Linked DNA regions of Diceros bicornis minor. The protein of the gene in region 1 binds, or shares a complex with, the protein of each later gene. Links are inferred from orthologs where the notes say so. Each region holds a gene or a part of one and is shown on either strand. Other genes may lie near its edges.

Region 1 (16,025 bases):
AGGGTGTGAAATGGAATTGGAACCAAGATTATCTAATTTTGTGGGTGATTACTTTTTTCTCTATATAGTATAGCTGGAAAAATTACGGAGAAACAGTCATTGAAGTTGCCATAGGAAATCTTAGTGCTAGAAGAGACTTAAGATTTTTACTCCAATTCACACACTTTACGGGCGAGGAGAGAGGCACAGAACAATGTGAAGTCAATCCACAATTGACACTTGGTGTTCTGAGCCAAGGCAAATCTTTTCTTCCATGCTACTCTTCTTTTCTGAAATTCTATCTTGGTTCAAGGACCCTCAGCCTGAGGGATTGGCAGGGAAGGAAGTAAGGTGTCCTGAAGCAAGAAGAGATGGCTAAGGAAAGGCATCACTATGACAAACTTATTACATGATGCTTCTTGTATATGACATTTCTTGTGTCTCTGTTTTAGCTCACTTTTGAGGACCCTGAAATTTTCTTGAGCCTGGTTGTTATAAGTCTCTTACAGTTATTATACAGCTTAGAATCAATGGAGAAGGAAGTGGTAGTGTTTGTCTTCAAATAATTTATTAGAAGGCACAGGGGGCTTTATTTCCTTCACATATCAGATACCCTAGTGCTACCATCACCGTGAACTCAACAAGTAAACTGAACAGTATACATGACTGTTGCCTACTCCTTGTCTGTTAAGCAAAATGTACTAAAGCCTTTTCTGAATCCTGAGGCAGGAAAAAAAATGAAGGAAAAGCTTAGCCTATGAATTCTCTTGGTAGTTCTAATTGGGTCTACTTATTAGAATTTTTTTTTAAAATTTCTAATTGTTATGAAAAACCTATACTCAATGAGTCTGTAAAGCTCTATTTATTAATCAGATTTTACTGTGCCAACACATAGTAGCCAATTACAAAATAACAGGAATGATGAGCTTTGCAGAATCTGAGACAAGAGCTTATGTGAGGGTGAGTCATCTTGGAAAGCAATTACAGGGAACAGAAGTGGGGAAGTAGAGGAGTGAAACCGGAAAGGAGGAAAGCATATCCTTGAAATGGTCACAAAGTGGACCAGATCTTCCGACGTGCCTGTGGTCTGCTCCTCAGAACTGTGCACCTGAGGGGAGAGGGAAGCAGAGGGGACCATTTGTCCACAGGCTCCCATTTCCCTAGTTAAAGGTTGTTCCATGGGGGGGCAATTTCCTCACATTTCCTCAGGCTGATTCCTGTGGAGGCCGGTGGAGTCAGAGAAGCTCCAGAGCAGAAGGCAAGGGATATAGACGCAGGTAAGGTGAAATGTTACCAAGCTGTATCTGGGCGAAACTGATTGCCACAACAATCACTGAAGTAAACGGTGAGCTGAAGGACGAGAGGTAAGATACAAGAAGAGTCTGAAATAATACGAAAACCACTGTTTTAAAGTATTGCCTGAGGGAGCCCTAGAAATTCCACGGAAGTGCCTTAGGGACAGCAATGGAGAGAGGGACAGAGAAGGCAGTTGAGCAGTGCTCTTGGGCCCCCCCACATGATTAGTTCTGAACAACTCTTCTTTGATCTGCTTTGTATATTGGCTTCCAAGTTCTTGAAATAAGTGTCTACACCTAAAAACAACTTTGGAGACTACTGTCATCAATCATTATTTCACTTAAATATACATTAAACTTTGTGAGGGTTAAAGATTTGAAATTCTCATATCTTAAAATTTCACACAACATTTAGTCTTGGTATTTATCATCAATATATTTTAAAATGTCATAGTGTTTTATATTACTTATTAAAATGAGTTTATCTTTTCCTGCTGACTGAAACAACTTGATTTTAATTAATACCTGAAGTGGAATACTAGAAGAAATAACATTTTCAATTTTTATGTGTAAAGGATTTTTCAAGATGTTCAAAATCCCAAAGTAAATATTGTCAGAATTTATCATTTGAATGACATCTTGAGGTAATCAGAAACCAATTATTTTTATTTCCTTCTTAGAAGTAGAGAAATTATGTCTGGGTTATATTCATGAACAGATTTACTTGTTGCAGCAATTGCTGAAAATTTTTTTCTGAATATTGTGTATAAATATTAATGGAAATAGTTTGGGAAAACACTTGAAAAAAAATCTTTACAATAATTTTTAACACAGATTTAGTGATAAGTTAAAAATATTCAGGAGAGTTAGTGGCCAAAGTTTTTGTTTATTTTTATGTTGTTTTGTTTGACATCTGGTTTCTATTATTGATCTGCTAGAACTAGAACAACTCTGGGAAAATAGTGAAATTATTTGTATAACATTAATGTAAAATATAAATATTTAATATATAAAGTTTGAAGAACATGCTTAAAAGCTGGTATTTTGTTTATGGAAACACTCATTTGAGATAAGAGTTTAAAAATATGCATGTGAATAATAACCACCAAATTTATAATAGTGATAGTCTCTGGGAAAGGAATATAATGGGAGAAGAAATCAGGTTTCTTATATATATTATATATTTTTTATATATTGTATTATACATTACATATAATATATAAATTATATATAATTATTTATTATACATGTATATATAAATAAATATATTTATATATGTAATATAAATATAAATAAAATAATTACTAGAAGTATACATAATTATTGTAATTATATATATAGTTTTTAAAGGTGAAGACATTTTATTCTGTATATGTTCCTTTATGTTGAAAATATTTCATAATGTATAAGATAGCTCATTCTTTCAAGAAAGAAAGGAGAGAAGAACAAGAAACTCAATGATAACTTTGTGCAAATGAGAGAGACACAGCTTACAACAGAGAAAAAGAAAAGCAACTTAGTGTTCTCAGGACATGCTGAGGAACAGATGTTGCCGACAGAATTAGCACCTTTGTGGGAAATAGCAGTTAAAGTTCAAATTGTAATAGACGATACTAGAAGCTTTCCATTGTGAAGTGAAAGGCATACTATTAAATTCTTATGTTTCAATGTAAACCATTATATTCAGGACAGATTCTCATTAGTTAGGGTTTTTCCCTCTAAATCCATACTCTAACTAGGATATTTCATAGTTTTTATAAAAAGGAAGTAAGCATTATTAGTATTTGAGCTTTCTAAATAAATTATTATCTTTTTTATTTCCTGAAAATTACTAGTGACCATATTCAGTGACATATGCATTCAAATTAATTTGTATGTATATATGTATTTGTATACACATATGTATAAATACCTACATATATATCCTTAAGTTAGATAAAACATTATTCCTTATTTTCTCAGCTACTTACATCTGAATTAAGTAAAAAAGCTGTACTTCTGTTCCAATCAGTCCTGACTGATCATTTTGCAGTTTAAATCTGAATCAAATCTTTAGTATATATAGAAAGTATAAGCTCATAGGACTTGTTTTAAAATCAGAAGTACTTTTCAATGAAAAAAAAATGACAATAACATCTTGCATATATTTAAATGCTCTTCTCTGATAACTAGTCATATTAAGAATTTATCTAGTCAAGTTAAGAAATAGTCTTAAAAATGAAGGCAATATCATTGGCCCTCTTCATTGGAACTTTACTTGGAAGGATGGTTTAAACAGCCCACAGAGATCTAACAGTTTCTAACCCTCTACATTTTTCAACAGTGTCTTCATAGACCATGTTATGACTACATGGAGAAAAAAAAACTCACAAAACAAACACACCTGGGACTATATTAGTTTTTACAGTTATGTAGTAATAAATACTATATTAGTATTTACAGTATAATTCTATACTTTGGTCAAATATTTTCAATAGCTAAAACATTCCTGGTGGCTATAACTGTGTATTACTTTGATTTATTTTTTCCCTTAAAACATTCATGACAATAATATGCTATCATCCCATTTTAAGTGATTGCTACATTTTAAAATATTTTTATCACCATATTTTCCAGAATGCAAATTTTGTGGTAATTTTTATAGTATTATTATCCTGCAAGTAATTTTTTTCTTTAAAACCAAAAAAATTTCAGGTGATAGTTAAAACATTTCTATTGTTTAACATCTGGATTTTAAATCTTTAGATCATATGACAGTATCTCTTTTCCTCCCCTATGTTCCTCAGAATAGCACCATGTAAGAATTCTACTTATGTTACACGATTTAATAATGTTGTTGATGAAGATATGATGATGATGGAGTTGAGACATAGAACAGAAGAGCATTAATCACAGCATCTGTATTTACCAGTTATTTTTGCCGCCATAGTCATCTGAGCCTCATGATTCACTCCATATGTTAAGACATTCAAATCATTATTACCTTAATCTGGTTAGAAAGCTGTAACTACTTGACCATTCAAAAGTATTTGTTGAATTTTAAACAATAGCAGAAAGTGAGTATTTCACCTCAATACTTTAATAAACGCAGCATTATACTCATCTTTTTACAGAGGCACTAATATCCCTAACTGGTCGTTTGGTAGTGAAAACACCACAGCCCGGAGACAGTCTAGTTAAATATTCTCAGCTAAATAGACATACGTTCTTCAATCCCTAGATGCTTTCCTCGTTACTTCATTGGTCTCTGAGCTGTCTATTTTTCTGTTTCATAGTCATGTTCCCAGAGGGTTACCTGACCTTGGAATTAAACACCCAACTTCCCACAGGTGGGTGTTTGGGGTGACCTTTCAAATTGTACCACGTTTTGTTAGAACTTGCAGGACGGAGAAGTAAAGAATAATATCACGTTCTCAGTAAGAGGCAGTGTCACCGTCCTTCTCCAAGTCATCAAGAGGTCAGAGGTAATGTTTTAAAACAAACTCACCCAACTAACAATCTCTTAAACACGAGAATAAGACCAATCTGCTTATTTCACAGCTGGTTGGTTCTCTACCGGCTCTCTCTTTATAGAAAACTACAAACCAGAGGGATGAAAAATAAGGAAGTAAAACACCAAGAGAAGCAATAAAAGAGAATGAAAGATTATGCTTCAGAGGACAGGATTTCTAGATGCTTTTGTAATTTCTCTTTATCTTTTATTCTTAAAGATTCCAGAAGTAAATTTGGGATAAATGATTATTTCCACATTATTTCTGCTAACTAAACCTACACTGTCAATCTTTTAGTTGAATTAACTCAAATCGTGATTTGCCATTCTGATAAACAGATTATATTGGCTAAGAGAGATTCAGTGGTATTGAACTAATGAACTATTTGTTCTTGGAGAGATCGTTTATATCTTCCATGCCTCAGTTTACTCACCTACCATAGATAATGTCTAAGGTCCCTTCTAGACCTATAAGCTTATGATTCTAAGAATTTTCTTAGGAAAAAAGAGAAACATATTTTCCCTTCATAAGGCAGGCCTTTAATTATGATTTTTATTGTCATAACTGCAGAATGAGTCTTGGTTTTTATCTTTGATGTGCATCTTTGTATTGGATTACATCAAGTAAATGTTTTTAAAAATAAATTCTTCCTTGATTCTCTTCCTAGATTATTTTTTTCTGTTGTTAGCCTTTTCCTCAATAGGTGGTGCTCTTTTCTCAGAGACACTTCTTATCTTACACATCAGGGAAATTAGTTTTACTCTTTGACAATCGTTAATTAAAGAAATCAGATATATAAGTAGACAGAATCAATTACAAGCAACTTGCGGTACCTTGATAATGAAAGCATAATGGGGAAAATTATTGTTAATGATCAAAGAGCTCCACTGAAACCTGCAATATTGCTGAATAGATGAAGCAAATGTAGATAAATATGAAAATGCCACGTTCACTACATACGTGGAATCCCTAGTAGGAAGAAAACTCCAAATCAGGAGCCATTTTAAAGTGTTAAAATGTTTGTCTATTTTAACAAAAGTAAATACATAATATTCCATGTTAACATGTAGGACTTAATATACACATCAACCCTAGCACAATCTACATCAATCTCATTTAATATTGAGAGCTCGCACACTCTTTGCCAAAGAAACTTGGAGTATCTGGGTAAACAGAAAGTGGGCTGCAAACTCTTCTGAAATAATTTTACTGGATAAAAAACACTTTTATTTTTTCCAGAGCGACATTACAGCTTCCTGTATAATTGTTTATAATCCAGAATTATGCTGCTTTTCATTGCTTCTAACTGATTCCCACTTTCAGAGACATGGAAAAACAGACACATCCTGTAGTTCTCTTGAACCACCCTACCTATTCCAGATTCAGTTTGTGACTCCTCTAGTAGATCTGCGGCTGCCAACTGCCAACTGGTCTAGGCAATACAACTGTCATGTTTGTTACAACAAAGTAACATTATTTACTGTGGAGAGACAGCAGGAAAACTTCCTCTATGAGTGTGGCCTGAGGCCGGAAGGAAGAGGGGGGTATAGGCGACTGTGACAAGGGAAGAGGAGGGATGGGGTGGTGGTGCAGCCAAGCACACAGAAACCAGCAGTAGTAGGAAAGTTGCCAAGGTTCATCTCTGAAAAGAACTGAGAAGGAGACCTGGCCCTCCAATTAGGGAAAACGAACTAGAATTCCTCTTCCATTACTCACAAATTAGTATTTCCTCAGCTCTGCCAAAGGGACTGTGGGACTCTGTGCCCAAGAGCCCTCTTGACTCAGTATAAGCCAGCTCTAAGACAGAGATTTTTTTTTTTTTGCCAGAGCTTTACAGCTTTTACCAAGCAACTTCTCTGTTCTTGAAATTTTTTATTCTTTCTTTATCAATGGAGGGAAAAACAGAAAAGTAGATTTTTGCACTCAAACAGCAACCACTCTATCCACTGTCGCTCCCACATTCTCCACTGTTTGCCTCCCTTCTCTTATCCTCCCGCCAAACACTCTGCCTGGGGACTCAGGTGTCCCTTTTTGCCCCCATTAGCCGCCGAAATCTCCGTTCGGAGCCCTGGCGCCTTCCTTACCTGACAATCACATACATGACCAGGAAGTTTCCGAAGAGACCCACCACGCACACGATGGAGTAGAGGGCCATGATGGTGATGGCCGTGATCATGGAAGGACTGCCGGTCGGAGGGCACAGGCTGTCGCTCCCGCCCAGCTCGGTACGGTTCGGACCGCATGGGTCGGACAGGTTGGCATCTACGTGGGAGAAGTTGACCCAGGAACCGGAGCTAGGTGCTGGGGAGCAACTTGAAGAGTGCGTGAAGGGATCAGTGCAATTGCTGGCATTTGTGGGGACGGCGCTGCTGTCCATGGTGCTGACGGCCGGCTGCGACCACGTTGGGAGGTAACCGCGAGCACCCGGACTTTTCTCGTTCCACGCGCCTCAGCCTCTTCCTCTTGCCGCTGCTACAGCTCCTGCTGTTTCTTACAGAGACCAACCCTGGCGGAGCCAGAGAGGAGCAGAAGAGGAGAGCTGAGCCTCTGACATTATCCTCTGCTTGTAGCCCCCTCCCACCTTAGTAGTTCGGAGACACATCCCCAACCCCAAACCGCTGAGGGGAAGGGAGGGAGGGCTGTGCGGGATCCGGAGGCTGGAGGGGAGGGAGGAATGAGAAGGGGTGGATTTTGCGCAAAGCAATCCAAAGAGTTGGTCTCCCCACTCGGCACTCGTCCGTGCAAACACCTCTAAGGAGGGGCAGAATGGGGAAGGGAGTTAAAAGGAAGGGTGGGGAGAGAGACAGAGAGTTTTTGTCAATAGTAAAGCATAGAAAAGGGGTCTGACATCACTCTATTTTCCAGTGTCGTTTTCTCTGTATAATATGACAGTAAGGACGTTGGCTTGAAGCAGCCGGGACAACTCTAACATCCCAATGCTCTTCCGTCTCTACTTCCTACCGCAATCATTAGGGGCAGGGGGTACAAACTCCTCTTCTTTAGTCCTCCTTGCCTCAGTCCCGCACATCCACAATAAGGTAACCGTGTTTTTCATATTACTAAATGAGAATTTCCAACCCTTCAAACCTGCCTGAAACAAGAGAGAGCTTTTCTCTGAAAAAGAAATGAGAACAAACTTTTGTGGAAGAAACCTATTGCCTTTACTCCATATTCCCCAATTTCTCCTAGAGTAGAAGCTCTAGTTGTGTCTGATTTCTATCTGGATGGGGAAGAGGCTAAAGGACTGGTTACAGAAATCAGAGATTTGTGGCATCCAGGAAAGTCAGCGAAAGATAATTATGATCCTCCACATCTTAAATCTCATAGATCCAGTTGGAATCATTAATTATCTCTTTTATCTCCAGACTACCTATGTGGACATGTACTTCTCAGTAGAATATTGTCAAAATCAAATAACATTTGCATTATTTCAGCCTGTTTTCTAGTGTAGAGATTCCAGGAGGAACTACATAGATATCTTGTGTGGAATGGCCCACACAAGGTTGAGGAATATGGGCACATTTTAAAATTTGATACCTCTCTACTAAGTCCACAAATGCTTCTATTTTAGAAATAAATTTGTAAATCAACCAGGATTAAGATTTTTTTTGTTAAAATTTACATTAATTCTAAAGTAATTCTCATTTCTGTACAGGTGTATATTTGTATATGTATATATCTTTTAACAACAAACATTAGCATTAAATATCCCCAATTGGTTGTAGAAAGTTACACTCATGGGGAGCAGGGAGAAGGGTGGGTTAGGGAGCTTGAAAGGAACATTTAATTCCAATACTATTTTTACCATTTTCTTGAAAACAGATAACTCATAGGTAAACTCCACTAATCATAGGTTATTTTGCCAATGTTCAGTATTATTTCAATCCTTTTACATTAAAGGGTTTAATTTCAGCAATAAAATGTTATAGAGATCTCCTAGAGACTAATAAAAATGCCTTACCACATATTCTCCTATGAACTAATACATCAACTCACTCACGTTGAACTGAAATCTGTCTGCCATTATTCAGTCTCTTGAGGACACACAGAACCAGTACAAGCTTACTTCATGTGAAAGATAAATAGGCACAATGTAATAAGACCTGGCCTTGGAGTCAAATCATTTCGTGAATCTTAGATTTGTAACTTTTTAGCTGCATGAGTTTGGATATGCTACTTTAACCTCACTGAGTGACAGTTTTCTTATCATTAAAAAAATGTTAATAATACCTCATATGTCTGTTAGCAGGATTAAATGAGATACACAATGAAATGGTAGTTGTTTAATAAATGATAACTGTTGTTATTACACTTCATATATTTCAAAATAATTGAGTAGTCTCTTCTACAAGTTAAACATTAGTTTCCTTCGGCTGCTTCTTATAAGATGTAGTTTTGAGTTTTTTCAGTATCTCTTTTCTATTCACATTATAGTTTGTATATCTGCTCTTAAGGTACAGCTCCAGGGCTAAAAACAGTGCCCTAAGTTTGGCCTGACCAATAAAAACTGAGCAAGATTATAAACTTCCTCTTTCTGCTGATACAGGTATCGAAGGGTCCCATTCACTTTTTTTTTTTTAAGTCACACTGCTCTCTTGACTCTCCATAGGTTTAATATTGACAAAATTCCCTAAACATGATCCAAGTCTGTTCAAGAAATATTTATTAAAGATCTGCTTTGGACCAGGCGCTGGAGTTAAAAAAGGTAGATACAATTGTTTTTGAACACAGAAGCTTACTTCTTATACCTGATGAGTCATGTTTTTCCTTTCCTATAAATTTATAATTATTCTAGACAGATCTGAGTACAACACTATAAATTTTTTATTTTTAAATTACATCTTCTTAGTTAGATCCAGTTCATGATTCAAATTCAATGAGATCTTTTGGAATGGTGTTTCTGTCATCTTTTGTATACGTACTTCCTACCTCATATATTTTATTTACCTTACCAGCTTTATATACTCTACAATAATGTTCCCGAGGGCAGGCTTGCTCACTACATAGTACTTAATACATAGTAGACTCCCTCCCTCTTACTCTCTCTATGTATGAAATATACATGTATATGTACATATATAATATTTTAATTCAATTGAAAGATAATTAGTGTATGCTTCATAAATGCTATGGACTGAATGTTTGTATCCGCCCCAAATTCACAGGTTGAAATTCTAACGCTCGGTGTGATGGGATTAGAAGATGGGGTCATTGGGAGGTAATTAGGTCATGAGTGTGGACTCTTAATGAATGAAATTATTGCTCTGATAAAAGAAATTCCAGAGAACTCTCTAGCTCTCTTTCTGCCACCTGAGGGTACAATGAGAAGACAGCAGTCTGGCAGTCTGCAACCCAGAAGGGGGCCCTTACAAGAACCTGACCATGCCAGCGCCCTCATCTCAGACTTTCAGCCTCTAGAACTGTAAGAAATAAATTTCTGTTCCTTATCAGCCACTCAGTTTATGGTATTTTGTTATAGCAACCCAAACTGACTAAGACAATAACATCATCTGGGTGATTTTTAAATGGCACAGCTTGAAAACAAAATATGTTTAAGAATACTTCACTGACAACGTTTTGTCCTTTTTAACTCAGTACGCTCTGTTAACCTGCCAAGATTTAAATGTATAGACACATGGACTGGCCAAGTGACTCTTCTGGAATTACTGTTAAAGAGCAACTCAATTCCCATTGACTTTCTCTGGAAACATTATTTGTTTTTCATTCTATTTCATAAAAAATGTAATCATCCTATGCAGTAGGAATTTGAACTTAGTGCTTCAACCATATATTTTTCAATTGAAATTTGATGTTTTCCTTTTCTACTACTCTCTCTCAAGTTTCATTAAGGATAACTATTATGTCTATTTTAATTGTAGGATTTTCTAGATATTGCAAGTCTTTCTTTAAATGGTATTAACCTTTACATCTCAGTATCTCCCATCTATTAAATATACAACTTGGGAAAATGCAGAACAAATTTAATCTCTTTCAAATATTTTAAGATAGCTTTGAGAAACACAGAGAAGAGTTGTTATAAAAATAGCAAATTAATACCACTTAACATATAGTATAAAAGGACCTCAAATTCCAGCTTCCATAGTATTATATTTCCTACCAGAGTTGTCTCAAGTCTACTGTGAAAGCTCAAGTCTCCTGTGAAAGGAGATGGGCTGTAAATAAATGAATCAATTTATTACAAACCTAATTATTTTATATAACATGGATTGTAACCATATAACCTTTAGTTTCCTTGAGCCTTAGTATGTTATCTGATTAATAGGAATATCTGCCTTTTTGTTGATATTTTTTGCATAGCCTAGATTTTCTATTTGAAGAAAGAAAAACTTATCTATCAGTCAACGTTTAACATTGCTATAAAAGCCATATTATACAACATTTTTTCATTAAAATATTTTCTTCAAAACAAGGCATTTAATAATAGCTAGAATGAATCCCAGGCAAGTGCTAAAAGTCACTCTTCTTCCTTGTATTTCAAAATATATAGGCTTTAGTTATTCATGTAATTGTCATCATCCCAGACTTATTTTAATAGCTTAGTCCTGATTTTTTTGAGAGTAGCTGTTAATGGAACACACGATAAGCAGCTACTAATGAGGAATACGGACATAAATACTATGCATAAAGCTATTATAGTGGTTTGAAGCACAGGAAAAAAGGGACCATCATTTTTACATTGGAAGAGTTCCATTGGAAGAAAATTTTATGTATTTGTTTACAGACATTTTCTATGTTATCTAACATCTAAATGTGTATAACTAATCAGAATGTAAATTCATTATGATGCAATATTATCCTTGATCACTTTAGTGTTGCACAAACATCCAGTGAAATGGAATAGGTACTCTTATTTACATGGTAAAAATAAAACAGAAAAGGAAAAATAAACTTCACAACTACCTCAACCTGATCAATCTAAGAGAGAGACTTCTGGGATAGAGTGGGCAAAAGTCCTGGACTTTAAATTAAAAAGCAGCTCAAAATCCATACTCTTTATTTACTTCCCTGTGACTTAGCTAAAATTACTCGTGTTTCCTGATCCTTGGTTTCCTCCTCTGTAATATAAGAATATGAGAATGAACTTCAAAGCAGTGTTGCAGGACCATTTGTATATGAAAGAATTTATCCTTTGTCTTTTGGCTTTTTATATCTTGTTTTATGTGGCCTGGAGATTAGCAAGAATAATGATCAGAAATATTGCACTATATTTAATAGCATAGAATTGACCTTGAAGGACCTGACTCTTTTAAGGGCCTGAGGTGGTGTCTATGAGTCCAACTCTTTCAAATAATTCATTTAAGCAGCTAGTTTATCATCAGTGTAAATATCTTTCTTAAAATCTGGAACCTCATTTCGATTTGAATCTTGCTCTTCAGTTTTCAGTTATAGAGGACTGCCATTTCTCTAGTCAGTCTCTTATCACTTTATATTTAGAGGAACAGTTGTCAGAATTTTTGGTCTCAGGACTTTTTACACATTTAAAAATTATTGAGGATTCAAAGAACTTTTGTTTATGTGGGTTATCTTTATCACAATTTATCACTTAGAAATTGAAACAGAAAAATTTAGTAACATGTCTTTATCAATTCATTTGAAATAACAATAAACCTATTATATGTCAACATAAATTTTTTAGGGAAAAAACTGTATATTTTCTAAAATTAGAAAATATTTAATGAGAAGAGTGGCTTCGTTTTACACTATGCAATGATTTTTAACGTCTGGTTTAGAAGAAGATATTTGGATTCTCATATCTGCTTTTGCATTCAATCAGTTGTAACATGTTGTTTGGTTGAAGTATATAAAGAAAATATGGCCTTGCAATACGGTTGGAATAGGCAAGAGTATTTTAGTGGTCTTTGCAGATAATCGTAGACAGTTTTCTTTGATAATCAACCCAAACTTAACAAGTGCTTATTTCTTAAAGGTTAGTTGGAATGTGGACATTGAAATCATGTCAGTTAATTTTTTTGTGCTCTGTTACATTAAAATCCATTGGTCTATCTTCCACTTTGAAAGAATCTGCTACTCATGCATGGTTGTGCAGCATTATGCCTTGATCACTTGGAAAATATTTCCTTATGCCAATTTTCCAAATGCTTAAACATTCCATTATACAATATCAAAAAATCACATTTATTAATATCACCACTGATATTATAGGAAAGTTCTTCAAATATTGAGATGATGTCAAATTGATAAAGGAAGACAAAAGTTTTCCAATTTCCAATTTTACTTGAAAGATTGAATTTCATCATTGGCAATAAATGAATAACTTTCAGTTTTCCTTGAAGTGACAGGCTCTCTTCCTTCATTTTCTACAAATATGCAATTCTGAATACATACAGTTTATCTTTCAATCATTCTTGAAGTAAAAATAGTATTCCATGGAAAAGTTCAGTTCACAACTAAAACAATCACGCAAGAGTTTTTCCTCGAGAGACAACCATCCTACTTTGGTGTGAGGCAGAAGTGCTTTGTGTGTACTTCCCATTTCATCATATGGAATGTCAAAAAAGTATATACTCAAGGGTCAAGATTTAATAAAATTAATAATTGTTACTGACCCATCAATGACATTTTAAAAGTGAAACTTTATTTTCTTTTCTGTGAAGAGCACAGTGACTACTAGCACAGTTTGGTGTCACTGCTTGATTCCTGCTAAGTTGCTGGCAGTTTTCCCCCCACTTCTTTTTGCATCATTAATGCAAATTTCAATACAGTGAAAAAGCCATATAACTTTCTAGAATTATTATGAAAATAGTTTCAACCTCATGGATCCCTGGGGTCATGGACTACAGTTTCAGAACCACTAATTTACACTATCATAAATATTTTCTGCTTTCATTTCCTATCAATCCATTGAACATATATATCAGTGCTATAAATCTTCCTAAGAATTGCTCCTTGAGTAAGTCACTTCTTTGCACCATAGCCTTCAATGATTTACCAAAAAAAAAAAATCCTTATTAATCTGTATAAGAATCCACATAACTCTATGTTTCTTTTCCCTTGATTAATTTTACTGTTTTTCCCCTCCCTGAACTTCCAAGCACCACGGATCACAGAGGAAGTGATGGTGCAGCATTTTTCTAGCAGGTTAATTCTGCATTCAAACGGTCACACATCTGCCTTTGTACAAGGAGACCCTCTTACTTTGGTGTTAGTACAATCAGACTATTCCATTTTCATTAAGAAATGGCTCATTATTCGTGTTTTTATCTCTAACAAAGCCCTGCCCTCAATCTTCCTTCTATTTTCTCACAGCCCCATTTACTCCTCCACACTTTAAAATCTGGCCTTTCTTTCTAAGGATGTTAGGGACTTTCATAATGCTAACCTAATGGTTTTTAGTCTTATCTTACAGGATCTCTCTTCCTGATACTCCTTACTGTCTCTTTCCACAACTTCATTTCTTGATTATCTTACCACTCTGATCATTCCCTTTTGTTTATTTTAATGATTCCTTCTTCTTTTCTTGCTCCTTAAAATACTGACGTTTTTCAGCATTCTCTCAACTAACCTTCTCAACATGCTCTTCCAAAGTAATCTCAACTCACCTTTGATTTTAACCTGTATGTTGATGGACCCAATCTACATCTCCAGCTATGACCTTTATCTAAATCTTCAGATTCTAATACCCATGGGTTTGGTAGACATTTCCACTTGGGTACCAGAAATGCCATATGTCCAAAGTGTTTTCACATTCCTATCCAAATACACTTATCTTAATGACATCACCACCCCCTGAGTCTCCCATCCCAGAAACCTGGCAGCCATCCTTAGCACTTCCAACTCGGCAGCATTATGTGTGGTTAGGAGCATAAACTCTGGTGCCCCATTTATTGTTAAAATCCTATTTTAACCACAAACAAGCAGTGTGACCTTTGACCACTGACTTAAATGGCTGATAGAATGTTTTTTCATCTATAAAATTGGGTTCCCTTGAGTGTCTCCTTCATAGGGCTTTTATAGGCATTAAATGACTTGTTGATGATAAAGCACTTACAAGTGTCCTTGGCACATGTAAACATGATATAAATATTTGCTAAATAAAGTCATAGACTGCTCCCACTCCCATTTTATTCTCACATTCAATCACCATGATTGCTGTTTCTACCTTTTACATTTCCTCTCATTCTTGCTATCACTCTTCTAGTCCAGGCTTCTGTCACTCATTTAGAATTACACAGTAAGCTCGTAACGGATCTCTCTTTCTCTCTACACATTCACCCTATACACTGTTGCCAAAATGAGATGTTAAAAATGGAAATCTGACTGTGCCCTACTGATCATGCTTGTTGGCTCTCCATAATTTATAGGATAAAGTTGAGTCTCTTGTCATACATGGTCCTTTAGGACAAACCCTTCTAGCTTCCTCTTTGGATAGTCACTGTTTACACTTTGCTCCCCATGAATACTGAAGAGCCTGTAGTTCTTGTACTTGCCATCGTCTTTCTTGTGCCTGTGTTCTGCTCATTTTCTTCTCTAGCACACAGGAAGTATTTAATAAATATTTGTTGACTGACTGTAGGGCACTGTTTTGGTCCTGTTTGACGATGTAGCACAATGTAGCACAATGTAGCGCAATGGCACAGTGATGAAATATATCAGACTTTCAGTAAACATTTCTGTAGCAACCAATTGTCAGGAAAGGAGCAAAGACCCAATGGTTAGATGCATCTAGACATGGAGCAGAGTATCTCAGACCTTAATGCATTTGTGCCAGACAATAAACTAGTCATTTTCCCTGTAAGTACCTTTAGTAAAATAATAATTTAAAATTGTCTAAATACCAATATTTTTATATTAATATTAAGAAACAATTTTTTTTTGTTTTGTTTTGCTTTGTTTTGTGAGGAAGATTAGCCCTGAGCTAACATCCATTGCCAATCCTCCTCTTTTTGCTAGGGAAGATTGGCCCTGGGCTAATATCTGTGCCATCTTCCTCTACTTTACATGGAAGTAAAGTACCACAGCGTGGCTTGATAAGTGCTGCATAGGTCCACACCAGTAATCTGAACCTGGGAACCCCGGGCCATAGAAATGGATCACCTGAATTTAACTGCTATGCCGTAAGATTTAAAGAAATATAAACTCCTATTCACATAGCTTTGGATGGGATTAAACTGTCATAGATTTTTTTCTTTAATTTTTGTTTTGTTCTTATTGCTTTTAATATAAAATTAAAACAGAACTCTACTATAACCCTAGAATTAACTTATGTTTAGGTTCTTTT
Region 2 (16,526 bases), on another chromosome or scaffold:
TCTCCGCTTCCCGTCTCATCCCCCTCCAGGGGCCTTTGTGCCTCCAGAGCCACCTCTGGCAGAACCTCACCTGGGCCTCCTCCGCTGGCAGCACCCTATGGCCCATAACAGCCCCTTTCTTCTCTTCCAGTCAAACTTCCCCCAACTTTTCTGAGCTGATATAACTCAGAGTAAGGTGTGAACGGGCAAATGATCCTCCCTGGAGAATTTGCTCTTTAAAAGGAGGGAGGCTGAGTAGATTTCTTGACCCAAAGGATCCCTTTTTAGGGTACAATTTTTGGCAGTGTGGGTGGGGTCAGAAGCAGGCTGTTTCTGCTAAGGGGAGGGCAAGCTTCTTGGGATACCCTGGGGTCACACTCCTACACATGGCCCTGTACAGACACACTGTAGGAGCCTGGTTATTAGAACAGATAGGTGTATTTTCCTAAACTGGGAGAACCTTAACATACACATTTTCCCATTACATGTGCAAGAAATTTATTGGATAGGGGGCTATCTGACCGTCGTTCCTATAGTTTCCACCCTTGGTCGCTGCCTCTGTGCTGTGGGCCTGCATCTTCCTGATGGCCTGCGTGATTACAGGGCCCAGGGAGCCCGGCTCCTGTCCCCCGTCCCCTGGCCTGCTGCCGACAGCTTTGGCTCTGCTCTTTGGCTTTTGGCTAATGCTCAACCCAACTTTACAAGCATGAACTTAGATTTCTTTTTACCTTAATACCTCTTTATTAAGAAACCAATTTTATTTTATTTATTTATTTTTTATAATTTTATTTTTATTTATTTTTTCCCCCAAAGCCCCAGTAGATAGTTGTATGCCATAGCTGCACATCCTTCCAGTCACTGTATGTGGGACGCGGCCTCAGCATGGCCGTAGAAGCCCTGCGTCGGTGCGCGCCCGGGATCCGAACCCGGGCCGCCAGCAGCGGAGCACGTGCACTTAACCGCTAAGCCACGGGGCCGGCCCAAGAAACCAATTTTAAAATAATTTGAAACAACCTTGAAAGCAAATAACCTCTGGAAGAAACTTTACAGAAAATCTAAATCTCGAGCCACAAACACATCTTTCCTCACTGGATCTTTCCGTCTTTATCCTTGCCTGGCTTTGATGAGAAACCCTGTTCCTTTCTTGTGCCTGCTTGACTTTAGGGTCCACCCCGTAACGAATGCACCCTGACCACTGCCCTTGGGGCCCTGGTCCTGGGACTTGGGAGTCATGGCGCTGGAGCCTCTTTCTAGAGCACTAGAACCAGAGGCCTGCAGGTCCACTCAGCTGTCTCTCCCTCAGCCCCGCCCTGGGCACAGAGTGAAGAAAGAGATGCGGGATTCCACTGCTGGCTCCTCTGCATCCGCCCGAAGCAGCTTTTTCTTTACGTCACCGCTGCTCAGCAAAGATGTGCTCTTTTGGAGAACGGGCCATTTTTTGAGAGCCCCCTTCTCAGTTTCAATTTCAGCTTACACTCAGTAGCATATTAGGTTGCCTGCTGACATGGAGTAGAACCTGGATTCTGGCCACATGTGCCTCAGAACCAGAAAGTTTAAGGTGCGTGTTAACTCAAACAGATATTAAGTGGTAGGTTAGGCAGTCTCCTTCGCCCCCCACAAGTTCTGGGAGGGGAGCACATCAGAGTTTGGTGGGTGCCCAGGCCCTGGCCTGGCATCACTGCTACCTGCCTTCCACACCATCTGGAGTCTGGCAGCACTGTGTGATGTGACCGACCCTGTTTGCTACCCTTCTCTGTTGTGATTTTGAGCCGAGAGGAGCCAGCAAGCCCATCCAGACCAGCTGCTCCCCGAAGCCACTGAGGACTCTTGCTTCGTGGGCAAGGGGTAGGGTTGGTTAGCACTCTGCTGACAGAACTTAATGTTCTGTATGCACATTGAATCTCAAGTGAATGTATTTGAGATTTGGAAGCTCCGTTAATTTGGTTGAGTCACGTAAGCGTGTAAGAGGCAGGTCAGCAGAAAGCACCAGTGCAATCCTGGAGGCTCCTTCTGCTTTCCTTGCAGTGGGGTCCCCGGTGCCCTGTGTCTCTTCCCATTTCCTCTCTCTGAACAGTAGAAATCAGTGGTTTCTTGACTCCTAAATGCCTCCTCACCAGAGAAGGAGCCTGAGCAGGTCAGAAGAAGAACTAGAAAAGCCCTCAGATACTCTCCTCTGTCCCCCTCCATCTCATATCCAAATATAAACGGATGAGCCTGGGACTGTCTAAATTGCTTGAAGAAGCTCGAGGGTCATATATGTGCAGCCCTTTGCTTGGGTGTTCTGGGTCCCAGGGGACATGTTTCAGCTGGCCTAAGAATCAGAATAGCCTTAGGGTACCTTTAAATGGCTCAAAGGCCAGACCTCTGGGCTTGTTTGGGGACCCCTGGGTCAGAATACCTTCCACTTGCTCTGCCATTGTCCAGGCCTTCTGACCTGGGTACAGAGAGTATCGCTGAGAAGTGAGGCTGTTTCTCCCAACTCCTCTTCATGACCATAAAATGGCAGCTGGCCAGCTGAGGGCCTGTGGGAAAGGACCAGACCTGAGCTGTTAGGCTGAATGTTAAGTTTGAAGGTAGACAGGGAGATGGGCTCATCGGAACAGGCCTCGCCGCTTCCCCTGACCCATTGACTCCGCTGAAACAAGCCATCCTCCTTACATCTGGGGAGACAGTTTAGGGCAGTGTGTTGTTGCTTCACCCTGTTAACCCTAGAAATCTTCTGGTTAAAGTGACCCCTTATCCCAAGTCTGGCCTAGGTCTGAAGACTGCAGAAGGATGGTCACAGTAGGCCTGGCCGGCTGGGGAAGTGGGAAGAAGACACGGGGGCTGTGGGAGGGGCTCTGTGGCCTGTGGGGGCCAGAAGGCAGTTCTGTGTGCTCTCTTTTAGCTCCAGCCAGGTTACCAGGTCTTTTCTCCTTCAGGGAACCTGGGGGCCTCAGCCTGTCACCTTCCCCTTTAAGCTCTTCCTCCATGACTGTTGATTCCGGCCTGTGGAGTGCAGAGCTGTAAATCCACAAATGCTGCAGCCCATACACTGTAACGTGTCTGTGTCCACTTAGACCTTCATGACCTGGCTGAGAGTGTGTGTGCCCGTGTGCGTGCATGTGTGTGTAATATAGTTCATAGTTGACAATGTGTGTATATAATAGCTGATGTATTTATATGGGAGTGCAGAACTAGTGCCTGTGGCTGTTTTCTGTGTTTGAAACTCGTTGAACCAAATTAGTTTTATTTTAAGGAAGGGGAAATAGTAGCGGGGAGAGTGTAGGAAGACGGACTCTTAGCAAGATCACTCGTGATTTCCCAATGAGCCTTCATGATGCCCTTTTCAAATAAATGTTAATGTTGTCACCACATGGTTCTCTATTTTATTTCTTTAAAGTAAATGGTTTTTTGAGATGCAAACAGGATCTGAAAATACCAACATTTACTGCTGACATTTAGCCACCCCCACCTGCCATCACTTTGCTTGCCTCAAAAGGAAGGAGGGTAGGGAAGGGATGCTACCAAGATGTAAACTTGAGGCCCAGGATTCCCAGCATGGGAGCATCCTTTGACGGGAAGGCCTGGGCCATTTCTTCACTAAAGTGACTGGAATCTAGCCCCAGTTCATGTCACCCACATTGGGGGAGACTTTATCTTAGGAATCTGGCTTTCTGATTCCCCTTACATCAGGATTTCCCAGGGTGCACTCCAGTTTTCTTTAATTTTGAACTTCTAGAGCATCAAGATATGGGGGTATATATGTAAGGCCATACACAGATGTTTCCCAGCTGGCTTTGATCTATACCGTCCACTGGTGTGTCTAATGCAGTTGACATGTACGTGTGCATCTCTGTGTATATAAGTATCTGTGAGTCTCTTTTGAATTATCAACGTGTGTGGCTGCCAACCCATGACCCCAGCATTGTGAAAACACCATAGGGACGTATAAAAGAAACACAGCCCCTGGCCTCTGCCCTTGTGGAGCTTAGAGTTTCCCAGAGAGGAGAGCACAAGACATACATGCAGCAAGAAACTGTGTGTCCTCCAGCAGGGGACTGGGGGGGCTGCCCACAGAAACACTGACTATGAGCAGGCTCAGCTGGAAGAGATCACAGATTTCCCAGTGGAAGTGGACTCGAGCCTGGGCTCATGTTGAAAAAACAGTGACATTGACAATGGTGGGAGAAGGTGGGGAATTCCAGGCAGAGGTGAAGGAGGATGAGACAAGAGTGAGAAGATCAGTGGTAGAAACATGGGACATGGGTTTGGTAAGAAAAGTGAACTTCATTGATAAGGGCCCTGCATGCCATGCCACGTAGTTTGGAATTGATGGAAAATTGGGGTAGGGTAACTTTTTTGGTTCTTGAGCCAGGGACTGTGGGGAGAGCAAGATTTTGTATACCTTCATATGAGGAATTTGTGTACAACGGGTTGGGGAGGGGAGCAACTGGAGACAAGGAGACCAGTCGGTTAAGAAGCTGTTCTGATAGTCGAGGCCTGAGCGCGGAGCACTAAGGCTGAAGAAGGGCTGAGGCTGGGCAACATGGGGAGGAGAGAGCTTGAGAGAGAGCCCGGTGGGCTGGGGGGGGCGGGGGAGGGGGAATAGAGGACCTCAAGGCTCGAGCCTCAGGGACTGGAAGAAGCATCTGTGTATATTGTGTTGTATTTATACAGATGTGTCTCCATGGCTGTGTATCTGTGTGGGCGAGACCATGTGTTTGAAAATATTTGTGAGTAGCCTGGGAGTGCAGTCAAATCTGAACTAATACCAACCCTCAGCTCGCACACTTAGCTTCTCAGTCATAAAAAGATCACACCCATTTTCTCATTAATCCTCACAATAGCCCTCACACTAGGGCTAGTGTGGGGTGGATGAGAGAACTGAATCTTGGACTTCATTCAGAGGCTTGCCTAAGCTCACAGATAGCTACGGCTACAGGGAGGCATTACCACAGCTTCCCACCTCACAGCCCAGAGAGCCCTCCCAGCTGCGGGTGGGCTTCATCAGTGTCGGGCTGGCTCTTGGAGTTGGACAGAGAAGCCAGGGTCACTCCTGTAGGAATCCTGCCTTTTGACGCATCTGCTAGCTGAGCAGTCTCTCCCCACCCAGTGGAAGGTGGGGAATGTAGCCACCCTGAGCCATCACCCAAACTATTTGGCCCCTTGAAGACCCATCTATGGGGGAGAGTACATTCTTTCCCTTCCTACTATGTCCTGTGTAACAGACTACCACTCGGTCACACGGAAACCATTATGTCTCTCCTCCGATATCTTTTGCTCTTTATCTGATGGATATGTATTTTTACTTTATTCACCCAGTCGACATTCAAAGTCAGAGTCAGATGTGAAACTGGAAGGGTTTTATTTCCTAACTACACACGGCGGGAAGAGGCCGAGCATCTGCCGCTATCACGGCCCGAGCAAACAGCACACCCAGGCTGCGAGGCGGCAGGAGGCAGGCGAGGAGCGGGGCGTAGGGCCGACTCCCTGGGGAGAGAAGCCCCTCGCCCGCTGCGCCCTCACTGGCCCTTCTTGTGGGCGTTCTTGATGGCGTTTTTGAACAGCGTCACCAGGGGCGTCTGGCTCTTCTCGGAGCTCATGAAGCCGCCGTAGCGCTTGTCCTTGGGCGGGCTGCCCCAGCGGAAGTGCTCCATCTTATAGGGCCCCTCGTCCTTCTTCTCGGCCGCCTCGGCCTCCGCCACCAGGCTGTACTCCAGGCCGGCCGGGGCCGCCGCGGGCTCGGGCCGCTCCCCGGCCAGCTCCCGCTTGAACTCCAAGGGGAAGGCCTCGGCCGACTCGTCCTCGGCGCCGTTGGGGTACACCTTCACCGGGCGCCGCTTCTTGCCCACCGGCTTGCCCCAGCGGAAGTGCTCCATGGAGTAGGAGCGCTTGCCCTCGCGCGGGCCCGGCTCGCCGCCATCGCCGCGGGGCGCGGGGCGGCCCACCAGCACCACCGCCTCCTCCTCGCGCTTCTGGCCCGCGCCGCCGCCGCCGCTGCTGTTCCGGCGGCCGAAGCGGTCCCAGCGGAAGTGGCCCATGACGTACTTCCGGGGGTTCTCGGTCGGCGGCTGCTCGTCGCCGTTGCCGGGGAACACGGGCGTCTCGGCCGAGGGGTCGGGCCTGCAGGCCCGGATGCACGCCTGCGGGAGAGCCGGGCGAGTGAGGGCCGCGCGCCGGCAGCCCCCCCAGCACGCCCTCCGCGCTGCGCCTGCGCCCTCCGCGCCTCCAGTGCCCCGCGACCGTCACCACGTGCGGCCCTCGCTCCCGGGGACGCCTGCCCTCCTCGTCCTCTTGGCCCCCACGGACACCTGAGACTCAGCTTGGGCATCGCCTGCTTTGTCCCTGTACCCCTTGACACTTCTGCCTGGCAGCTGCAGCAAAAACCCCATGCCACTCCTTGGTTTACTTGTCCCATAGCTTTTGCGAGCAGGGTCACCGTCTTCCCGTTATACGTCTGATATATAGGAATTAATAAATGGCGGGTGGGTGTTAGTCGTTGGGACTTAATGAATATTGAATAAATATATTTGGTTCAGTTTGAGTCTGGGAAGGACATTGGGCTGAAATTTGGGGTAGAATCTCCCCAGGTGGGAGAAGTACAAGTCTGGCTTCTAGGGCCTGTATTTTCAATAATGCCTCAACCCTACCCCAGCGATCTGCAAACCTACCCCATGCCCTACCCCAGCTATCTCCTTGTACCATGCTTCAAAACTTTCCCATGTCCATCTGGCACTTTCTCTGGTTCTTTCAAGACTTCTGAGCTGATCCTGTACTTTCCCCAATCAGTGAGCTTTGGGAGGGGGTTTCGCTTCCCTGTCATCTCATTCTGACTGGAGGGAGGGATAGAAAGCCAGGATTATTTCCATTGCACGGGTCATGGAGTGCGTGTCTCTGCTCTCTGTAACTAGACAACTCAGCTGTGGTAAACATTTGCTTAGGAAAATGACCTATACGCTGCAGCCTTGAGTTTTCAATTACTCAAGACTGCAAAGGAGGAAACAGAAGCATCCCACCCACTCTTGAGTTGGGAATTTCATACTCTGGGAACTTAGAATTCTAACACTGCAGAATATTAACAGTGGAAAATAAGAAGTATTTCATACTCCTCTCCCCTGGACACAGGAGAGCTCAGAGAGGTGAAAGGACCTTGGCAAGGTTCCGTAGCTCACAGGACTGAGACTAGAACCCATGGGCTCTGATGATGGCTGTGCTCTTTCCCTGGTGAGCTCTCAGGAGACGTTGTGCAGTGGGTGTCTCCAGTCAAGAGCCTCTTGCATCTCTCTGAACTAGAACTCACAGAATTCCCTGAGATCATTGTTTCTATTTTGTATTCCACATGCAAACTGCTCTGTGTTTTTGAGAAAGTCTCTCTTCACCTTAACTCAGCTTCTCCATTGACAAAACACAGAAGGTAGTGATGTGCGTTCCATCTTCACTACGCAGGTGCTGGCAGCAGGGTGGAACGCGCTCACCAACACCAGCAGTGTGTCTTTTAGTCCTTGCTTGGTATCATTTCTCATTTATGCCTCCCAATACACACACACACACACACACCCTGTGGTAACCTCGCGGGAGTTCCAACCTGGCACAACGGGCCTTTACATGCTTCTGGAAAGGCTGCAGGAGGTCAGTCCTCCAGAAGAAGCATGAGCCATTGGGCACCAGTTAGAGGAAAATGGCACCTGGGTTTTTCCTTCTCCCTTTAGAGATGATTTGTGGTACTACCTCGCTGGGGTTGTAACTGGTAGTAGATAAAAAGGGAAGAAAAGTGGAATGCAGATGGCAAGTGATATGAGGTTATTTAAAAACGAATAATTTGGAGGCTAAAAGATTGAAAATGTAGGATCAATTGAGGGAGCAATTATTGTTATTACTGTTATTAGTATTGTTATTATTATTTTTATGGCACTATCTCTAAATAGCTTAAATGGAGTAGTGTCCCCATACAAGGAGACAGGGCAGGAAGCAAAGATAATCAAGCCAAAATTGTGGACCAGACCCATCTGGTCCTGCTTCCTGAAGCTGCTTCCTCCCCTCCTTGACCCAATTCTGACTTCACCCTAGAGATCTGTTCCTGCCCTGGGTTGAGTATCTCTGGGAATGAATCCAAACCCCTTTCTTTTGTGCTGTCCCAACCCCAGCCCCAGTCCCACCTGATGCCCAAACAAGATGGCAGCCATGGCCCACATACCAGCAGGTTACTTTCCGTGGTGAGGTCCTGACACTGGCTGGTCTCCAGGCACCAGCCACGCACTTCCACGGAGGCCTGAAGCAGCAGGGCCAGCATCAGAGCCCCCGAGCGGCTGCCGCGTTGTCTCGGCATCTTGCAGGCAGGCTGAGGCTCTGCGGAGGCAAACAAGATTGGTGGGACCCCTGCAAGGAGCAGAACAATGTTGGTCACTCACCAGGAAGGACTGTGAGCCAACATTAACAACACACTCATTTGTGGAGCTCAAGGCTTTTTGAGGACAGGAGCAGTTCAAGGAGAAGGTTGGTGTGCAGAGTGGTGGTGTGAGTTGTGGTAGAGCGGAGGGGAGTGGGACCTGGGTGAACTATGTGGAATTTCCCCTTTATCTCCTGTTAAAAATCAGATCTGAAAGGAGATAGGGCTGGAAGCTATTTTGGGGGTCATTTGGTCCAGCCCGTTGTTTAAGAGATGGGGAAACTGAGGCCCAGAGAGAGACAATAACTTGGGTGTTCATGACAAGGTGAGGCTAATTTCTCCTTTTACTAGCACGGAGCTTTCCTATTTCACCACCTACATGAAGCTATAGTTCTAACACTCCAGAACCAAGGAGTAACTTGGGAAAGACAAAGGATTCTGAAGCTCCTGCTCGATGGTCTTTTCCCTCCGCCTCCACCAGGATCCTATCATTCCTCAGAAACTCTTATTTCCTATGAATAGTAGGTTTGCATAAGCACAAATAAAACCTCTGGCCAACTTAGCCAAAACCACAGCCAACCCAATTTGATGTCCTGTACACAAACCCCACAAATGATCACTATCTCCCACACCCCGGCATCTTTGGAGAGATTTACTTGTAAAGCACACCCCCATTCTTTTAAAACTGGCTCATCTTCTGAACATATTACATGTCAGACCTCTTGTTCTCTGAGTCTCTCAAATGTAGTCCTAAATAGCTGGACTTGAAGATGCTGTAGGTGTAGAAGGGAAGGAGATGGACAGACAGAGCAGAAGGGAACTACTTCCCCTTGTGGAGAAGTCAGGAAGTACCTCTGGGCAGATGCTGAGGCCAAGAGGTCAAGATGCGGTAAAGAGTGGAGCCAATGCTGCCCTTTGCCCCCTGTGCCCAACCCTTTCCCCAGCCCTCTAGCTCTCATGCTGCCATGTCCCCCCTCACCCAGGTCAGCCCCCTGAAGTGACCCTGAGTTCTGTCATGAGCTCGCCACCAACCCCACAATCATTTTGGATTTTAGAAGATCTTCTCAACCAGCTGTTAGGAAGAAACCTAATTAGATGATAAAAGTAATTTACATTAAGATGTAGGTGACTAATTGTCTCTCCTAGTGGACATTTGCATTTTAAAATGTTTACTTAAAGAAATCTCGCATTTGTGGAGGCATGGGCCAAATCTTTTTTATAGGGAAGGCTTTAGAAGTGAAAGCTCTCCTTGGTTCTCATTGTCTACTTCAGGAAGCCACTTCCTTCTCTCTGCCACACCCCCACTCCTTTCCCCAAAAGCTGAGCCAGCTCAGGGCTCCCTTCTGAATGGTTGCCAGGCACTGCCTATTTTCAGAGCAGCCATTAGATGGCACTGGCAGCCAGTGAGCTGGCCCATCAGTATCTCAGGCTGAAGGGGCAACTGAGAGAGCACTGGTCAAATCGTAATGTCCAGTCATGATGGGGGACAGGCTGCTCCTGTTGTAGCCTTTTGATGCTCCAGTTCAAGTATGAAGCCTGAACTTGGTGGACAAGGCAATTTACATTAAAGCTCTGAGACCACACAGCACAGAAAAATGCCCAGATTTACAAGAGAAGCAGAAAAATGGTAGTTATATATCACTGTGGGCAAGTGTAAAAGAACATATTAGTAGAGAAAGAAGTAGAATCATACAGGTCTGACAGTTCTCTCAACTATATTTAAATTCTCCTCAAGATTGGCCATTCCAGAATGATCTTTTTCTAAAAACCTACCTCATGTGTTCAGGGCTTTCTGAAAAGCCCCAGAGAGCATTTCCTCTTCTTCTGCTGCATTGGCTGTGTTGCACAACATGGTAACATTCTCACTCCCCACCCTCTCAGAGCTCCATTCTCTGGCTAAAAAGTTAGATAGTTTCCTGAAAGCAACTTGTTTTCTTTTTGCTTTTGTGTATTTTCTATTTTTCTACAATGAAGAGATATTACCTTGTGTCCTTTTTTTAAAGCAGTAATGTAACCAGGAAATGTCAAAAGCTGTGCTTTTTGAGGGTAAGGAGAGTGTTACAACCCAATAATTGAAAGCCTTAGAAAAACAAATAGAAATTTGTAATTTGTTAATCTTGACATTAACTTTATAATACAACTACATTTATTAGAACTTCATATGTGTAGGTGAATTCTCTATGAGCTAAACAAAACATTTTGTTTGTTACTCTCACATTGCTCACTGGCCATGCCCTTCTGTAAAGATTAGAGGAGCAGAGGCACGGGGTTTTGTCCTTGCACCATGATACACGTGCATCAAGTCCTAAAACAAAAGTGTCAAAGGAATATTAACTCCTTAAATAAGCCATAATCTGTGCATATCTTCACAGTTGACAAAACAAATGCACGCTTTTACTTTCCTTGGCTCCTTCCAGCCATTCCTTGAGAACAACCACCTTCCCACTTATACCGAAGAATTTGGGGGATCCAAATGCCCTGCAGACTCTCCCTTCTTCCCTGGAGACCCCCCCTTGCCTGAGCCTCTGTCAGCTCAAACGGCTGCTGCCGCCCTGCGGCCTAGGGTCTGCGGGATGGGAAGTGCACTCTGCAGTCCTATGGAGGGCACCGACATGGCGTTTCAGGACCTTGGACAGTTCCCGACTGGGCGTCCTCTTTTTTGCCCCAGCTGGGAGACCCGTGTCGCTACCGTGGCGCAGCCACGTCGAGTGCTCTAAGGTGGGCAGAAAAACGAGGATTCTGGGGTCTGAATCCCAAAAAGTCTGGAATGCAGGGAGTTTATTGTGACTTTTAGCCTTTTCTCTCCTGCCCCCTTTCCAACGTTAATTTGCGCCAGAGTTATATGGTGTCCTTTAAGAAGTGACACCTCCCCAGGAAATAGAGAGGAAGAGGAGCCAAAAGACCGGGCTCTCCCCAGAAGGCGGTAGGAGTCTCAGGGGTTCTAGCAGCCCCACTCCCCGGAGGAGGCGCGGCCGCCAGCTCCGGGAAGCACCATCTCCAGCGTGGCAGCCGTTCGCTCACCGGCCGGAGGCTGGCCCTCGCCGCTCCGCTGCGGGCGGCTTCCCACGCCGCACTCAGTGCAGAAAGTTTTCAAAGAGCTCAGGACCGAAGCGAGGCAACGGCGCCTCGAGTCCGCTATGGGAGCTGGACGAGAGCATCCCGAGGCCCCAGGGCAGGGGGTCCCGGGGGGAGAGCTAGGTTCCGCGCCGGGGCGCCCTTACCTGCCGCGGGGAGGCTGCTCTCTGGGCGACTCCCGCTGCGCCGGGGCAAGGATGCTCGGCGGCCTCTCTCGGTCACTTTTCTTCCGCTCTTTCTCCTCCTTCGCCGCCGTCTGGTCCTGGTCGCTCTCTTCTGTCTTTATATACCTACGGGGCTCGCCCGTGTGGGGCGCTAAACGAGAACTTCCCGGCAGGGCAGCGTAACAAGCAACTCCCCCGTCCATGGGAAGGGGGGCCATGGTGAGGGGGGTTTCCAGGTAGGGGTTGAGCGCAAGGGCAGACGTGCCTGGAAAGGAGGCTGGATCTCTGCCCCCGGAGGCTGGAATTAGCACTGTCCGGCTAAAGGGCGCACCTGGCACCTTCAGGAAAGAACTTAATTAAGGACGGTGTTGGGTCTCCAGTTAGGACGAGCGGGAGGCTTAGCACCCCAGTGTGGCGCAGGCCTGGCGTGCCTGCTGAGGTCGTTGAGAAGAGGGTGAAGTTACCTGTGTGCGCGCTTGGGCTGGCATCTGCCTCATTGGCATTTAGAGGTAAATATCACCGCAGAGGCAGTACGTCTGTGATGCCTCAGATTTCCCCAACTTTTGGAAACTGATGTGAAGAAGTAACCGGGACTCACAATCCCCCTGTTCCAGGTTGGGGAAACCGGGGGCAGAGAAGGTGAAGAGTCACTCACTCACCTGAGGCTCAGAATAGGTTGCCTTCCGGGGGCATGACGGTGAGTTGCACTGCCCCCCTGGGACCTGCTCCCCGAGGGCTTAGTCCAGGGCAGGCTCCTTCCTGTGCCCCAAACCCCAAGGAAAAGGTGCTGTTAACCTTAGAATATTAACACGGTAGGGAGTGCTCTGTGAAGAGCAGCTGAAGTACTTTCCCTCTCGCCTCTGATCCATCCCTGTGGCAATGAGCTGGCAGAGTGGTCTGGGGACTCTCAATCTTCTCCAAGCCTGGCCTTGGAGCTCTGGCTTGGCTCTAGTCCCAACTGTCAGGACAGGGAGGAGAGGACAGCACTCAAACCTGCAATGGAAGAGACTCTCCCTCAGCCCGGAGGAAAGAAGCAAAAGCAAGTTGTGAGGAGTCATGGGGGTGAGAGAGAGTGTTGGAACCAAACTGAACTTCAAATCAAGGTGCTTGTTTAATCTGCCAATTGCAGGAACTTTACTCCCCATCAGATGCTCTTTTGGACTCCAACACTCCCTTGAGAATTTTTGGTTGGTGACATTGGCTTTATATTCAGCAATCCTTTCCTTTTGGGCCACAGGGGAGGTCCAGGCTCCTTACCAATAAACAAGGTACTTTATCACCTGGCCTAGGCCTCTTTCCAGGGTCATCTCCCACCTCCCCATCTTGTGTCCCGGCACTTCCACCATCCCCAACATTCCCACCCCCATGAACACTATTTTCTCAAGCCTCCACCTCTTTGTTACCCGCCCAACTAAAACACCCTTCTTCTCTCCAGCCACCCAGGAAAATTGGGCTCTTGCACTAAGATTTGGCTCTTTATCATCACCTGTTCTCTGAAGCCCTTCTTGGCTGCTTTGTCCTACCTGGGACGTGAAACACAACTTTCTCTGTTCTCCAGAGAACCCCATTCCCATCTCGTGTGTGCACGTAGCCTTCATTGCTAGAACAAATTCCGCTCTGTCTTCCATCTTCCCTCTTCCATGCATGCCTGCCCCTCCCACTGCCAGGCATGTGAACCCTCTAAATCAGATGGGGATTTATCTTATTTTTCTTTGTATTATTTTTATAACTTCCAGAGGCAACTGGCAGTAGCAGAAAAGCCAGACCAGGAAAACTCCATACTGACCCAGCTTCTGTCCTCCTCCATCAGCCCAGTTCTTAATCACATGCAGCAGAACCGAAAGGCCATCGAGCCACGTTTAGAGTCAGTGGGCAGGTTGGAGAGCCAGGACCCAAAAATGGGAAGGGACAAAATGTGGCTGGAATCATGGCCAAAACCAGGTCATTGATTGGATCCAATGAGAAAGAAAACTAGACCACTACTGGGAACAAGAGGCCACAAGTGACAGTCACACCACAGGCATTGGACATAGATGTCACTTCTATCCCCAGAATAAAAAAAAAGTGAGAGGTTGCCATTCCCACTTTGGCTGATGCCACCAGAAAGGACTGACCACTGCCCTTGCTGCCCTGTACCACTAGCTCCTCTTTGAAAGCCTGGAACAGGTGCCTCTGATTGTCTGGGCTAATAATACGATTTTTCCCCTTTATTCTGATAATGTGGTGAGTGATATTGTTGATTTTTAGTGCTACACCTACCATGCATTCCTGGATTGAGCCCAGTTTATGATGTGTTATCTTTATATAGCACTGCGTTCAAATTGCTAATATTTTATTTAAGATTTTTGCATCCATTTATGAGATTGGCCTGTAATTTTCCTTTCTTGTAGAATTCTCGTCAGATTTTGGTATCAAAATTATGCTGTCCTCATGAAACAAGTTGGAAATCTCTCCTCTCCACTCCCACCCCACCCGCATTTTTTATAGTTTAGTAGAAGAATTTGTGCATAATGGAGTTTATCTCTTCCCTAAATGTTTAGCATGATTTATCAGTGATGCCATCTAGGTCTTTAAGGTTGTTTCTTTGTTGAATGGTTTCAAATTACAGATTCAGTTACTTGCATGGCACTATTCTAATTGTCTATTTCTTCTTGTGTCAGTTTTAGTGAGATGTGTATTTATACGAATTTGTTCATTTCATGTAAATTTTTAAATTTACTGGCTTAAAATTGTTTATTATATCTTCTTATTATCTTCTTAGTGTGTATGGTATCTGTAGTTATGGTCCCCTTTCATCTCTGATATTGGGTGATTTATGTCTTCTCTTTTTTCTTGATTAGTTTTCTTAGGAGTTTATCAATCTTATTAGTGTTTTTAAAGAATCAATTTTGCTTTTGTTGATTTTTCTCTATTGCACGTACACTTTTTTTATTTCTGAAATTTCTACTGTTATTATAACAATTCTTTTTTTATCCTCTTGAGTTGGACATTATATCAATGCTTTTACTTAGACAATTGATACTCAACCTTTATTCTTTTTGATATATGTATTTATGAGTATAAATTCCTTTCTAAGAATGGTTTTAGATGTGTCCCACAAGTTTTGATATGTCATATTTTTATTAACATTTGGTTTAAAATATCTTCTTATTTTCATTGAGGTGTCTTGATTGACCTATGGGTTATTGGGAAGTGTTCTGTTTAACTTCCAAACAGTGGAGATTTTCTAGTGTTGTTTTGAAACTAATTCTTAGCCTAACTCCCCTGTGGCCAGACGACATGCTCTATTTGATTTTAGTCCTTTGAAATCTGGGGGGGCTGCTGCTTAATGGATGAACTTTTGGTCCATTTTGATTAATGTTTCATATGCACTTCAAAAGAATGTGTTCTATGGTTGCTCAAATATTCTATATCCTCTCTATACCTATATCCTTTCTGATTATTTATCATTTTATTCTTTTACTTACTGACAGAAGTATGTTTTTAAAATCTCCCCATTATTTTTGTGGATTTATCTACTCCCCATCATAAAAACAACTCTTTCTAGAAATCTAACAGTGAACGTGGAGCAATGGTGGAGGGTAATATAGGATCAAGGATAAAGATAGCAGAAAGGTACTAGAGCATGGTTGCATGCTGATGGGAATAATTCAGTAGAGAGGGAGAAATTGATGCTGCAGATGAGAGTGGGGAAAACCAAATAATCCAAGTCTTAAGGAGAAGCAAGATGGGATCCAGAGGAAGAACCTCGCCTTCAAACAGTGGAGGACTTGCCTCTTCCATAACAGGGGTGCAGGAGGAAAAGGAGGTGCAGACACAGATAGACTTGTAGGATAAGCCATGGGACAGTGAGTGGGCTTCTGTCTGTACTGAAGCTTTTACCTTTTAACCCAGGATTTCCCATTATCCTGAGGAAATTATCTAGCAGTTACACTAAATGCGGTTCAAGACTATTCCTACAACATTGTTTATAGTAGCAATAAATTGAAATAAACTAAACGTCTGTAGTAGGGTATAGTTATAAAAATATGGTAAAGCCATACAATGGAATAGTCTGCAGCCATTCAAGATAATAATGTAGATATTTAGTTCTAGACATAAAAAATGACCACTATCTGCTGTTAAGTGGAGAAAGTATGATAAGATAAAATCTACATAGAGATAGAGATAGAAATAGAGATAGATGTTAAAAGATACCAAAGTGTTAATAATGCTTGTTCTGGTTATTTAATGCTATATTACAAACCACCCCCAAAATGTAGCGGTTTAAAACAACAGTGTTTATTTTTCTCATGGATCTGCAGTATGGTCAAGGTTTGGCAGGACCAGCACGTCCCTGCCCCACGTGGCATCAGCCTGGGCAGCTTGAAGCCTGGGGTCTGCAATTATCTGAAGTCACTCACTCACATGACTGGCTCCTGGGCTGGGAAGACTCAAACAGCTGGGGGCAAGAAGATTTGGGGCTCCTCAGACACGTCTCGCTATCTCTATGCAGTCTTGCCATGTGATCTCTTCAGCATGGCAGTTTTAGGGGAGCTAGACTTCTTACACATAGGCTCAGGCCTCCCAAGCTTGCATCTGGAGGCGATTTGCTCTGCCAAGGAAAGAGGGTGGTGGATGGTCAGCAAGGGCTGCTCAGAGAAGGGGATGCTGTGCTGTGCTGAGCCCTGATACAACAGGTCACCAGGATGAAGAGAGGAAAGGCATTCCAGGCAGATGGAACAGCATGTGCAAAGGGCTCAAGGCAGGAGAAAACCTGTCACATTCATGGAATGCTGGATGCCTGTGGTGGAGGGAGAAAGAAAAGACTGGAAACAGAGGCAAGAGAGGAGAAGGTAGAGGACCATTTAGGGATTGAGTCAGAGGAGAAATCGGACCAGATTTCTGTAGCACTGAGGAGGATGATCAGAGCGGAGGGAGCCTGGAGACAGCAAGGGATG

What was found.
Region 2: the proteins of OPRM1 (region 1) and POMC are in contact, whole or in part, in a cryo-EM structure (PDB 8F7Q), measured with the Homo sapiens proteins. The link is inferred for Diceros bicornis minor from reciprocal best matches to the Homo sapiens genes OPRM1 and POMC. Residues at the interface, in NP_000905.3 of Homo sapiens: Ser66, Met67, Ala70, Ile71, Met74, Gln126, Asn129, Tyr130, Leu131, Met132, Gly133, Trp135, Val145, Ile146, Asp149, Tyr150, Met153, Arg213, Ile217, Asp218, Cys219, Thr220, Glu231, Lys235, Val238, Ile298, Val302, Lys305, Trp320, Ile324; in NP_000930.1 of Homo sapiens: Tyr237, Gly238, Gly239, Phe240, Met241, Thr242, Ser243, Glu244, Lys245, Thr248, Pro249, Leu250, Val251, Leu253.

The regions. Positions count from the first base shown.
Region 1 is NC_080778.1:15,032,714-15,048,738, forward strand, and holds the start of OPRM1 (mu-type opioid receptor), read right to left. Parts: upstream 7,379-16,025; 5' UTR 7,143-7,378; coding exon 6,850-7,142; intron 1-6,849. UniProt on the Homo sapiens protein: Receptor for endogenous opioids such as beta-endorphin and endomorphin. Receptor for natural and synthetic opioids including morphine, heroin, DAMGO, fentanyl, etorphine, buprenorphin and methadone.
Region 2 is NC_080751.1:57,382,561-57,399,086, reverse strand, and holds POMC (pro-opiomelanocortin), read right to left. Parts: upstream 8,288-16,526; coding exon 8,156-8,287; intron 6,105-8,155; coding exon 5,484-6,104; 3' UTR 5,099-5,483; downstream 1-5,098.